Macaca mulatta: one gene and its partner. The protein of the gene in region 1 purifies or fractionates together with the protein of each later gene. This does not show direct contact. Links are inferred from orthologs where the notes say so. Each region holds a gene or a part of one and is shown on either strand. Other genes may lie near its edges.

The links. Proteins that work in one complex are often made in the same cells at the same time.
Region 2: the proteins of MAX (region 1) and E2F6 purify together in Homo sapiens (affinity purification with mass spectrometry; 5 studies listed by BioGRID and IntAct, with this or other methods). This does not show direct contact. The link is inferred for Macaca mulatta from reciprocal best matches to the Homo sapiens genes MAX and E2F6.

The regions. Positions count from the first base shown.
Region 1 is NC_133412.1:138,199,559-138,203,850, forward strand, and holds the start of MAX (protein max), read right to left. Parts: upstream 2,919-4,292; 5' UTR 2,747-2,918; coding exon 2,711-2,746; coding exon of another isoform or gene 2,507-2,710; intron 1,976-2,506; coding exon of another isoform or gene 1,949-1,975; intron 1-1,948. UniProt on the Homo sapiens protein: Transcription regulator. Forms a sequence-specific DNA-binding protein complex with MYC or MAD which recognizes the core sequence 5'-CAC[GA]TG-3'. The MYC:MAX complex is a transcriptional activator, whereas the MAD:MAX complex is a repressor.
Region 2 is NC_133418.1:113,370,445-113,374,849, reverse strand, and holds the start of E2F6 (transcription factor E2F6), read right to left. Parts: upstream 2,954-4,405; 5' UTR 2,696-2,953; coding exon 2,588-2,695; intron 1-2,587. UniProt on the Homo sapiens protein: Inhibitor of E2F-dependent transcription. Binds DNA cooperatively with DP proteins through the E2 recognition site, 5'-TTTC[CG]CGC-3'. Has a preference for the 5'-TTTCCCGC-3' E2F recognition site.

The DNA of each region.
Region 1 (4,292 bases):
CAGTATAATTCCAATTCAAAGGATAATTCTGCAAAGGAAGCCTAACGATCCTTGCCCTCTGTCTCTGATCAAGCCCTGGCACAGATTTTACAACTGGAGACTTGCAGGAAAAAAAAAGTTTTCAACAGACTAGGCCCCAAACATGAAGGATAAAAGTAAACGAAAAAAACAAATTCAATTTTCAAATATATGCATAAGTATATGAGAATACTTCAAGGATAAATAAAACAAAATAAATTATCTTTAATGACTATTACCCAGGGATAATTTGTAAGATTTCTGGAACAACTACATCCCCGGATTTTAAGAAAATACGAGCTCTCAATAAATAAGTTTTCTTAATGCCTATTTGCTTAGACAACCTGCATAATCTTTGCTTGCTCTAATGAAGAGCAGGTACAACTGAGATGGCTTGCCTTTATCCTGTGGTTATTAGGTTCTTATACCAGAGGTATCAAAGTGACATCCTGCAAATTCTAACAAGCCCAAACAGTTGTTCCACACATCATTTTAAAAATCAGAAAAATAACATAACGCTTTGGATTTCTAATCTTTCTTAAAAAATAGGAAGATCAGCTGGGCGCGCGGTGGCTCACGCCTGTAATTCCAGCACTTTGGGAGGCCGAGGTGGGCGGATCACGAGGTCAAGAGATCAAGACCAGCCTGGCCAACAAGGTGAAACCCCGTCTCTACTAAAAATACAAAAATTAGCTGGATGTGGGGGTGTGCGCCTGTAGTCCCAGCTACTCAGGAGGCTGAGGCAGAAGAATCGCTTGAACCCAGGAGGCGGAGGTTGCAGTGAGCCGAGACAGCACCATTGCACTCCAGCCTGGTGACAGAGCGAGACTCTATCTCAAAAATAAATAAATAAAATAAAATAAAATAAAAAATAGGAAGATCTGGCAATACTGACCCTTCACTCCTACATAACAAACCACTGGAATTCAGTAGTGGCTGACTTTTTAGGAGAGGCATTGCTCTCCAGTACCCAAGTCCTCACCTCTTCTTTCTTTATTATTTATGGCCCTCATGGGCATTCAAATTTTTTACCCCCATTCTATACACTTCCTACTGTTCCCAATTTCAAATATTAGAACTCTGATATACTTATTTCTCTTCCCCTCTGATTCTGATTTATTCTATATGTTTTCTTTTTTTCCCCTCTAATCTATTCATGAAAAACCCATATTACTGTCTCAGACTCCAAAGACATGAAATTAGTGCATATCTAAATCCACAGAACCATCTACTGGGAACATTAATATCAAAACCCTAAGAAATTATTGATAACATTATATGGTCTCATCCATCACCTTTCAGCAAAGCTCTTCCTGCAATGCCACTTTTCTTCAGCTATTTTTTAATTTTCTTTATACCTCTTCTTCAAATACAGAGAATCAGACCATAATAACTTTATGTGACACTTTGATGATGCAACGTTTGGCTCCTCTACATTTCCAATTTTTGTGTTAGAATACCACATTGTGCTAGATTCTACAGGTCTAGAGCAGTCACATGACTTGGTTAAAGGCGATTATTGCATGTGGCTTCAGCTTCACATAATTATACAGATATGGTTTAAAATCTACTTGTTCCTAAATAAATCTTCTGACCACTTTGCCCTGAAATAATACTACCACTGACTTCAGAATGCTGCATTTCTCATTTCCACTTACATAGCGGCAGCTGGATCCCCTATTTGAAAACTACAGAACAATTCAATTCTTTGCATACAGCTCCTCTTACTGAACTTATCACCTGAGAATCTAGAATGATAGGATTTGCAACTCCCCCACCCTCCAGAACCAGGCCCCACCTCACCTTAGTGGTTAACATTAGTGATTTACTACAATATTAAAAGTAACAGTACGATCTCTTTTTCTCTCTGACCCCAAAAAGGAATAGAACTGAACGGAAATAAAAATGAAATGGAGAGTAGGAGACGTACCGCAGATTGAAACCTCGGTTGCTCTTCCTGGAATAGGAGAGAAAAAAAAATAGAAAATATAGAAGTTATTTTTACACTTAACATTCAATAATAAGAAAGAAAATGCCGGCGGCAGAGGAAGCGGAGGGTGGGGAGTCAGCCCGACACCCCTTCCTCCCTCCCCACCCCTTGCCCCCACCCTTCCACCCTCGGCGGGATCCGGTAGCGGGATAGAGGGGTCCCGAGCGCCGCCCCTCCTTCCGGGATCCGACCCGGGCCAGAGGGGTCTCGAGCACTGTCTCCTCCCTGCAGACCCAGCTCGGGCATCTAGGCACCCCCAACCCCTCTCCGCCCTTCCTCGCCCCCCAGGATCCGCGGGTCACGGGAGGAGAGGATCGCGTTCCGAAGGGGCAGGTCCTGAACGCCGTCCCCTTCCCCTGGATCCGGACAATGGGATCCCGGGCGCCCCCCATCCTTGTCCCCCGGATCCTGAGCCCGGGAAGGTGGGAGCGGGAGGCCGCAGCACCCTCCCCCACGGGAGAAGGTGGGAGTCCCAGAAGCCGCGTGTCTTCCCCCCACCTCCAGTCCCAGGAGGCCGCTCCGGCCAGGAGCCGGAGGGGAGCGAGCCGGGAACGCGACGGAGGCAGTCCTGGCCCCGAGGGAAAGGGGAAGGGGAAGGAGGCGGCGGCGGCCCGGCCCCCTCCCGCCGTCGCCCCGCTGAGAGCCCCGGCCGCTGTCCCCGCCTGACAACCCGCACGGGAAGGAAGAAGCCCCAGGACTCACGTCGCTCTCCACCTCGATGTCATCGTTATCGCTCATTTCCTACAGCCCAGGGAGCGGCCACTGCAGCGGCGGCGGGGAGGGGAAGGGGTGAAGGGGAGGGGGAAGTCACCGACAACAACAAGCCGAGTCCCCCCACACACACACTCACTCACTCACTCACTCGCTCTCTCACTCACACACACACACAACACGGGCAAGAACCACCTCCTCACTGCAGCACCGGATCAACGGCGGCACGCACGCCCGGTCGGCCCCCGCCACGTGACCAAGCTCGCAGCGCTGGGGCAGCCGAGACTTGTAGTTTTTGTCCCTTTGACAGACGGCCCGGGTAACTCCAGAAAAACTACAAATCCCGGAAGAAACCGCATCCAGGCGTCGCCAGCCAGGCTGGTAGACGGAGCCCAGGGCGCCTGCGCGTCCCGGAAAGGGGGCGGGGAGAGCCGCGGCGCGGCGCCTCCTGGGAGTCGTAGTCCGCAGACCGCGAGTTGTCAGGAGATTTTCCTCCAGAGGCGGCAGAGGAGGCTGCTGGGAAGACAGGACACGTGGAGGGAGCTGGAGCTCCTGGAGCCGGGCACCGTCGGCGCGCTGAACGCCGGGCCCAGGGGACTGGGTGGAGTCTCTGGGGGAGTAGCCGGCTGTCTAAATAATGCTGCCTCTTTTTGGTGTGACTGGTTATACTTTGTCTTCTTGATGCGAAGTGGTTCTGTTTTGCGCCTAGGGGCGTAACCCGCCCTGGAGGGAATCCGGCTGCGGCGGAACAGGGGGTGCGGCTCGGGATGCCGGCGCGAACCCTCGGGAGCTGGTGGGGAGGTATCAGTGGCAGGTGTTTCGTGGTGTTACCGGACAGGCAGGATGACCGACCTCGCCGGGCGACCGCTCCCAGCCGCGAGAATCCTGTATTCATTTATCCGGGAGTGACCATCCTCGCTACTCAGCTACTCGCGTGAGGTTCCAGCATTCACAGAACGCGAACCCTCAACCACTGTGGGCGTGAAAGTAAAAGCCCTTTAGAGTTTGTTGTAGCCCAGGCAGTCTAGGCAGTATCCCAGCTCAGAGTACCATAATTAAGATCGCAAAAAGGATCAATATGGGAAACTTGTGCAGTTCCCTGTCCAGTTAAAATCATATTTATATACTGTGGCATGAAGTGTAATCACATCCATTCCACCAATATTTTTTGAACACCTAACATGTGCCACAAGGGGATGCCATAACGGATAAGACCAAAACCATCCCTGCCTTAGGCCAAAACCATCCCTGCTTTTATGCATGCAGCTCACAGCTGTGCAAGCAAACGTGTCTGCCCTGCCGCCATTTTAAGAGTATGCAACAAGTCCCATGGGAAGGAAAAAAACATAAGAAAGGCACTTTCCACCTTGAGACAAAGTACCCATACTACTCCTTTACATCTGGTCTCCAAAATGAATGACATCTTGAGCTTTTCCCATGAGTTACTGATTCCCGGATGAAAACCGTATTATCCCTGACTTTTGAATGTGGAAATTTGGGGATATGTCACACACAATTCTTGTGACATGCATTTTTCAACGTGAGAGTGTCATCCATGCTGAAAAGACAAATG
Region 2 (4,405 bases), on another chromosome or scaffold:
AAAAGTGAAACCTCAGATGAGGGGGGACTAATAGGAGTTGGAAACCTAAGTAGGAAGGTCTAGTAGACAGCTGGAAAACCCTGAGGGAGATTTATAGATTTGGGAATTACGATATGGTAACTGAAAATACCAGAAATGTATGTCTAAGATTTCAAGCGATGTATCTGCTGATATTGCATGCAAACTAAGTGGTTTTTCCACAGTGAGCTTAGAGTTTTTATCAAATTCTCAAATATTAAGACGACCAATACAGATGGTACCAATATACAGCTGATCCTCAAACAACACAGGTTTGAACTGTGTGGGTCCACTTAGATGCCAATTTTCTTTACCCCCTGCCACAACTTAGAGAGCAAAACCAACTCCTCCTCTTACTCCTCTTCATCAGCCTACTCAGTGTGAAGACAAGGATGAAGACCTTTACGATCATCTAATTCCCCTGAATGAGTAGGACTTTCTCTTATTTATGATTTTCTTAATAACGTTTTCTTTAGCTACTTTATTATAAGAATACACTAACTAATACATGTAAATACAAAATATGTGTTAATCAACTGTTTACAGTATCAGTAAGGCTTCCAGGAAACAGTAAAGTTTTGGGGGAATCAAAGTTATATTCAGATTTTGAATTTCATGTGATTTGGTGCCCCAAACCCTGAGTCGTTCAAGGATCAAATGTAGACGGTAACATAAGTCATGGGAGGAGAGAATGAACTCCCCTAAGAAGAATGTGTAGAGACAGCAGAAGAGAACCCTGAATATCATCAACATGTGGCCAGCCACGGTGGCTCACACCTGTAATCCCAGCACTTTGGGAAACTGAGGTGAGAGGACAGCTTGAGCCCAGGAGTTCAAGACCAGCCTGGGCCACGCAGGAAGACTTCCATATCTAAAAATAAAAAAATTAGCCAGGCCTTGTGGCATGTGCCTGTGGTCCCAGCTACTAGAGAGGTGGAGGCAGAAGAATCACTTGAGCCTGGGAGGTCAAGGCTGCAGTGAGCCAGGATGTGCCACTGCACTCCAGCCAGGGTGACAGAGTGAGATCCTGTCTCGGGGGAAAAAAAAATGAAGGACTGGGAAGAGGATGAGGACAAGGAGAGCCCAGAGAAGCAGATGGAACATCAATGTCAAGGAAACTCAAGGGAGAGTTTCCAACACAAGTAGTTTTGTGTCAAAACTACAACAGCTGCTGGAATTGACGAGATTGTCGGTGACCCTGGTTAGAATGGTCTCACAAGTGTGCTGAGGATAGGGGTCCCCAGCAGTGGGTTGGCTGATAATGAGACGATCAAGTGGAAAGAGTGAGTGTAAATAACTTTTTCAAGAAGTTTAGCTGTGAAGGGGAAGAGAGACAGTAGATGGCAAGGGATATGGAATTAAGGGAGGGATCTTTTAAGATGGGGATGGATTGAGAATGTGGTTTTAGTAGTCAAGAATTTATCATCTGGAGTTAGACATTTGGAGGTTCAACCCAAGTTTCTCCACTTACTATCTAGCCACAGGCAAGCCGGCATTACATGCATCTCCAGGTCTGTTTTGGCAACCGTAAAACAAGAATAATAGTCTTTTACTATTATAAAACACTGCTGTGAGAAATTAAATGAGACAATAATCACAAACTATTTGGTATGGGGACCAGGCATAATGACTTGGGAAAATGTTTAATTACTACTAGTTATAGGAAGAAAGCAGCAGAGAAATTGAAAATATGGGGAGAGGCCGGGCTCGGTGGCTCACGCCTTGTAATCCCATCACTTTGGGAGGCCGAGGCGGGTGGATCACCTGAGGTCGTCAGGAGTTCGAGACCAGCTTGGCCAACACGGTGAAATCCCGTCTCTACTATAAATACAAAATTAGCTGGGTGTGGTGGCGCATGACTGTGATCCCAGCTACATGGGAGGCTGAAGCAGAAGAATCGCTTGAACCTGGGAGGCGGCGGTTGCAGTGAGCTGAGATCGTGCCATTGCACTCCAGCCTGGGGAACAAGAGTAAAAACTCCATCTCAAAAAAAGAAAAAGAAAATACGGGAGGAATGGAAAAGAACGCATTTGTTAAGGACCTTGAGAACCGGGGAATACAGTATCTGGTCCAGAACAAGAGTAGAAGAAATCAGTCTTTGTGGGAAAGGGAGCCAAATCTCCTAACCATTTTCTCCGTCAAACAGGTGGGGAGATAATTTTATGAATGGGAGCTGTGGCGTGGTAAATATAAAGCGTGGACAAGGTTTTAAACGGCTGCAGTAGAGCAGAAGAGAGAGAAGGTAGAAGAACAAATGATAGGTTGCAGAGATACAGCTAGAGTCCACTGAAGGAGAAAAACATGGCCTTTCCAATGCAAAGTTGAGCAATTTTCTCCAACAGTGCCCTGAAGTTCCGATGTAAAAGTCCAGAAGACTGACACCACGTCTGTGAACAGATGCTGAAAGCAGAAGGCGGGAGAGCGCAGTTTCGCAGCACGTGATGGGCAGCGCCTGGCCCAGGGGGAGCAGACGACCGAGACGACGGCCAGCGGGGTTGGCGGCGGCGCGGGGAGGAGGGGGCCAGCTTTGGGAGACCCCCGCCCGTCCCCCTCCCGTCCCGGAGCTTACCAGCAGTCCCTCCACGTTGATGGGGTCTCGGCACCGACGGCGAACCGTCTCCTCCGCGGGGTCCAGGAGGAGACTGGGCAACTTCCTCGCCGGCCGCTGCTGACTCATGCTGCCCGGCCGGGCGTCCCGCTCCCCTCGCACCCCGCGAGCTCTCCCGCCCTCTCGCGCGCAGCTCGATCACCGCCCCCCACGCGCCGATTTCCAAGGGCCCAGAAACTGACGGATCCGCGGCGTCCTCCAAGGCCCCGCCCGGCTAGGCCGTCCCACCCGCCAGCAAACGCGGCACTGCCTCACGTGCCCGGGAACTCCCGACGAAGACGGGAAAGGAGGAGGTAAACCCGCGGCTCTCAAGTAGCCCGGCCCGCCATTTTTCCGCATGCGCAGTGTACCGCCCCCCTCTGCGCATGCCCGCCGCGGCCGGAGCGCTCCCACGCACTGATCCTCTCCCGGCGGCTGGCGCCCGGGAAACCCGGACCGCGGAATCCACGGAGAGGCTGGCAAAGGAAAAGGAAGAGGTGGAGCCGGATTCCAGAGGAAGGGAACGGGGGTGAGAGAAAACAGGCAGCTGGGAAAACGCAGCGCTCGCCTGGAATTCTCGACGGTGATAACTGAAAGCTCTCAGCCGCAAAGATGTTCATTTATTCCTTTTTTTAATTTTAATTTTTTTTTTTTTTGTCGCCCAGGCTGGAGTGCAGTGGCGTGGTCAGGGCTCACTGCAGCCTCGAATTCTTAGGCTCAAGCGATCCTCCCACCTCAGCCTCCCAAGTAGCTGGGACTACAGGCGCGCGCCACTGCGCCCGGCTAATTTTTAATTTTAATTTTAGTAGAGGCAGAGTCTCAGTATATTGCACCGACTGGTCTTGAACTCTGGGGCTCAAGCCATCCTCCCACCTTGGCCTCCCAAGTGCTGGGATTATAGGCATGAGCTACCACGCCCGGCCTTCATTTATTCCTGAGCTCTGTTAGCACATCTTACAGGCGGGTCAGTGTTGATGCTTAGTAAATGTGAGCAACCAAACCATTGTGGTATCGTTTTACTTCTGCCTGCCTGCCTTCTTTCCTTCCTTCCTGCCTTCCTTCCTTCCTGCCTTCCTTCCTTCCTTCCTTCCTCCCTCCTTCCTGTTTGATGAATGAGTTATCGTGGACCTATAGTGTCAGATATTGGGGTGAGCACAGGCGATACTTACTCATTTGGATATGCCACAGGTTCAACCTCCAATTTCAGTGGGGACAGATAAGTAAACAGAGCATGTTAATTAAGCTGGAGCCAGAGGTGTGTTTTCAAATCCTGGCTCCTACTTATAAACCAGAAGACCTTATTAAGCCAGTTACTTAATCTGCCTGTGCCTCAGTTTCCTTATTTGGAAAATGCGAATAATGACAATACTTACCTGATAAGGTTGTTGTGAGGATTAAATGGATTAATGGATACAGGTTGCTGTGATTAGAACAGAGGCCAGCACATGTTTGAAATAAAAAGGTAACACACCGTGGTGTGTACAGAGTTGGAGGGAAACAACCGGTTAGACTGGGGGTTTCTACACAGCCTGAGGTGGGCGAGGTGAGGTAGGGAGAAATCCCTGAAGAAGCTGGCTCCCCACTAGACTATGATGTCAGAGGTCTCTAATCTTTTTTTTTCCCCATTACCCAGGCTGGAGGGCAGTGGCATGGTCATAATTCACTGTAGCATCAAACTCCTGGTCTCAAGTGGTCTCCCAGTTAAGACTCCCACGTAGCTAAGAGTACTGGTGCATGCCACTATGCCCGGCTAATTTTTTAAAATGTATTATTATTTTTTGAACTCCTTACCTTAAGCAA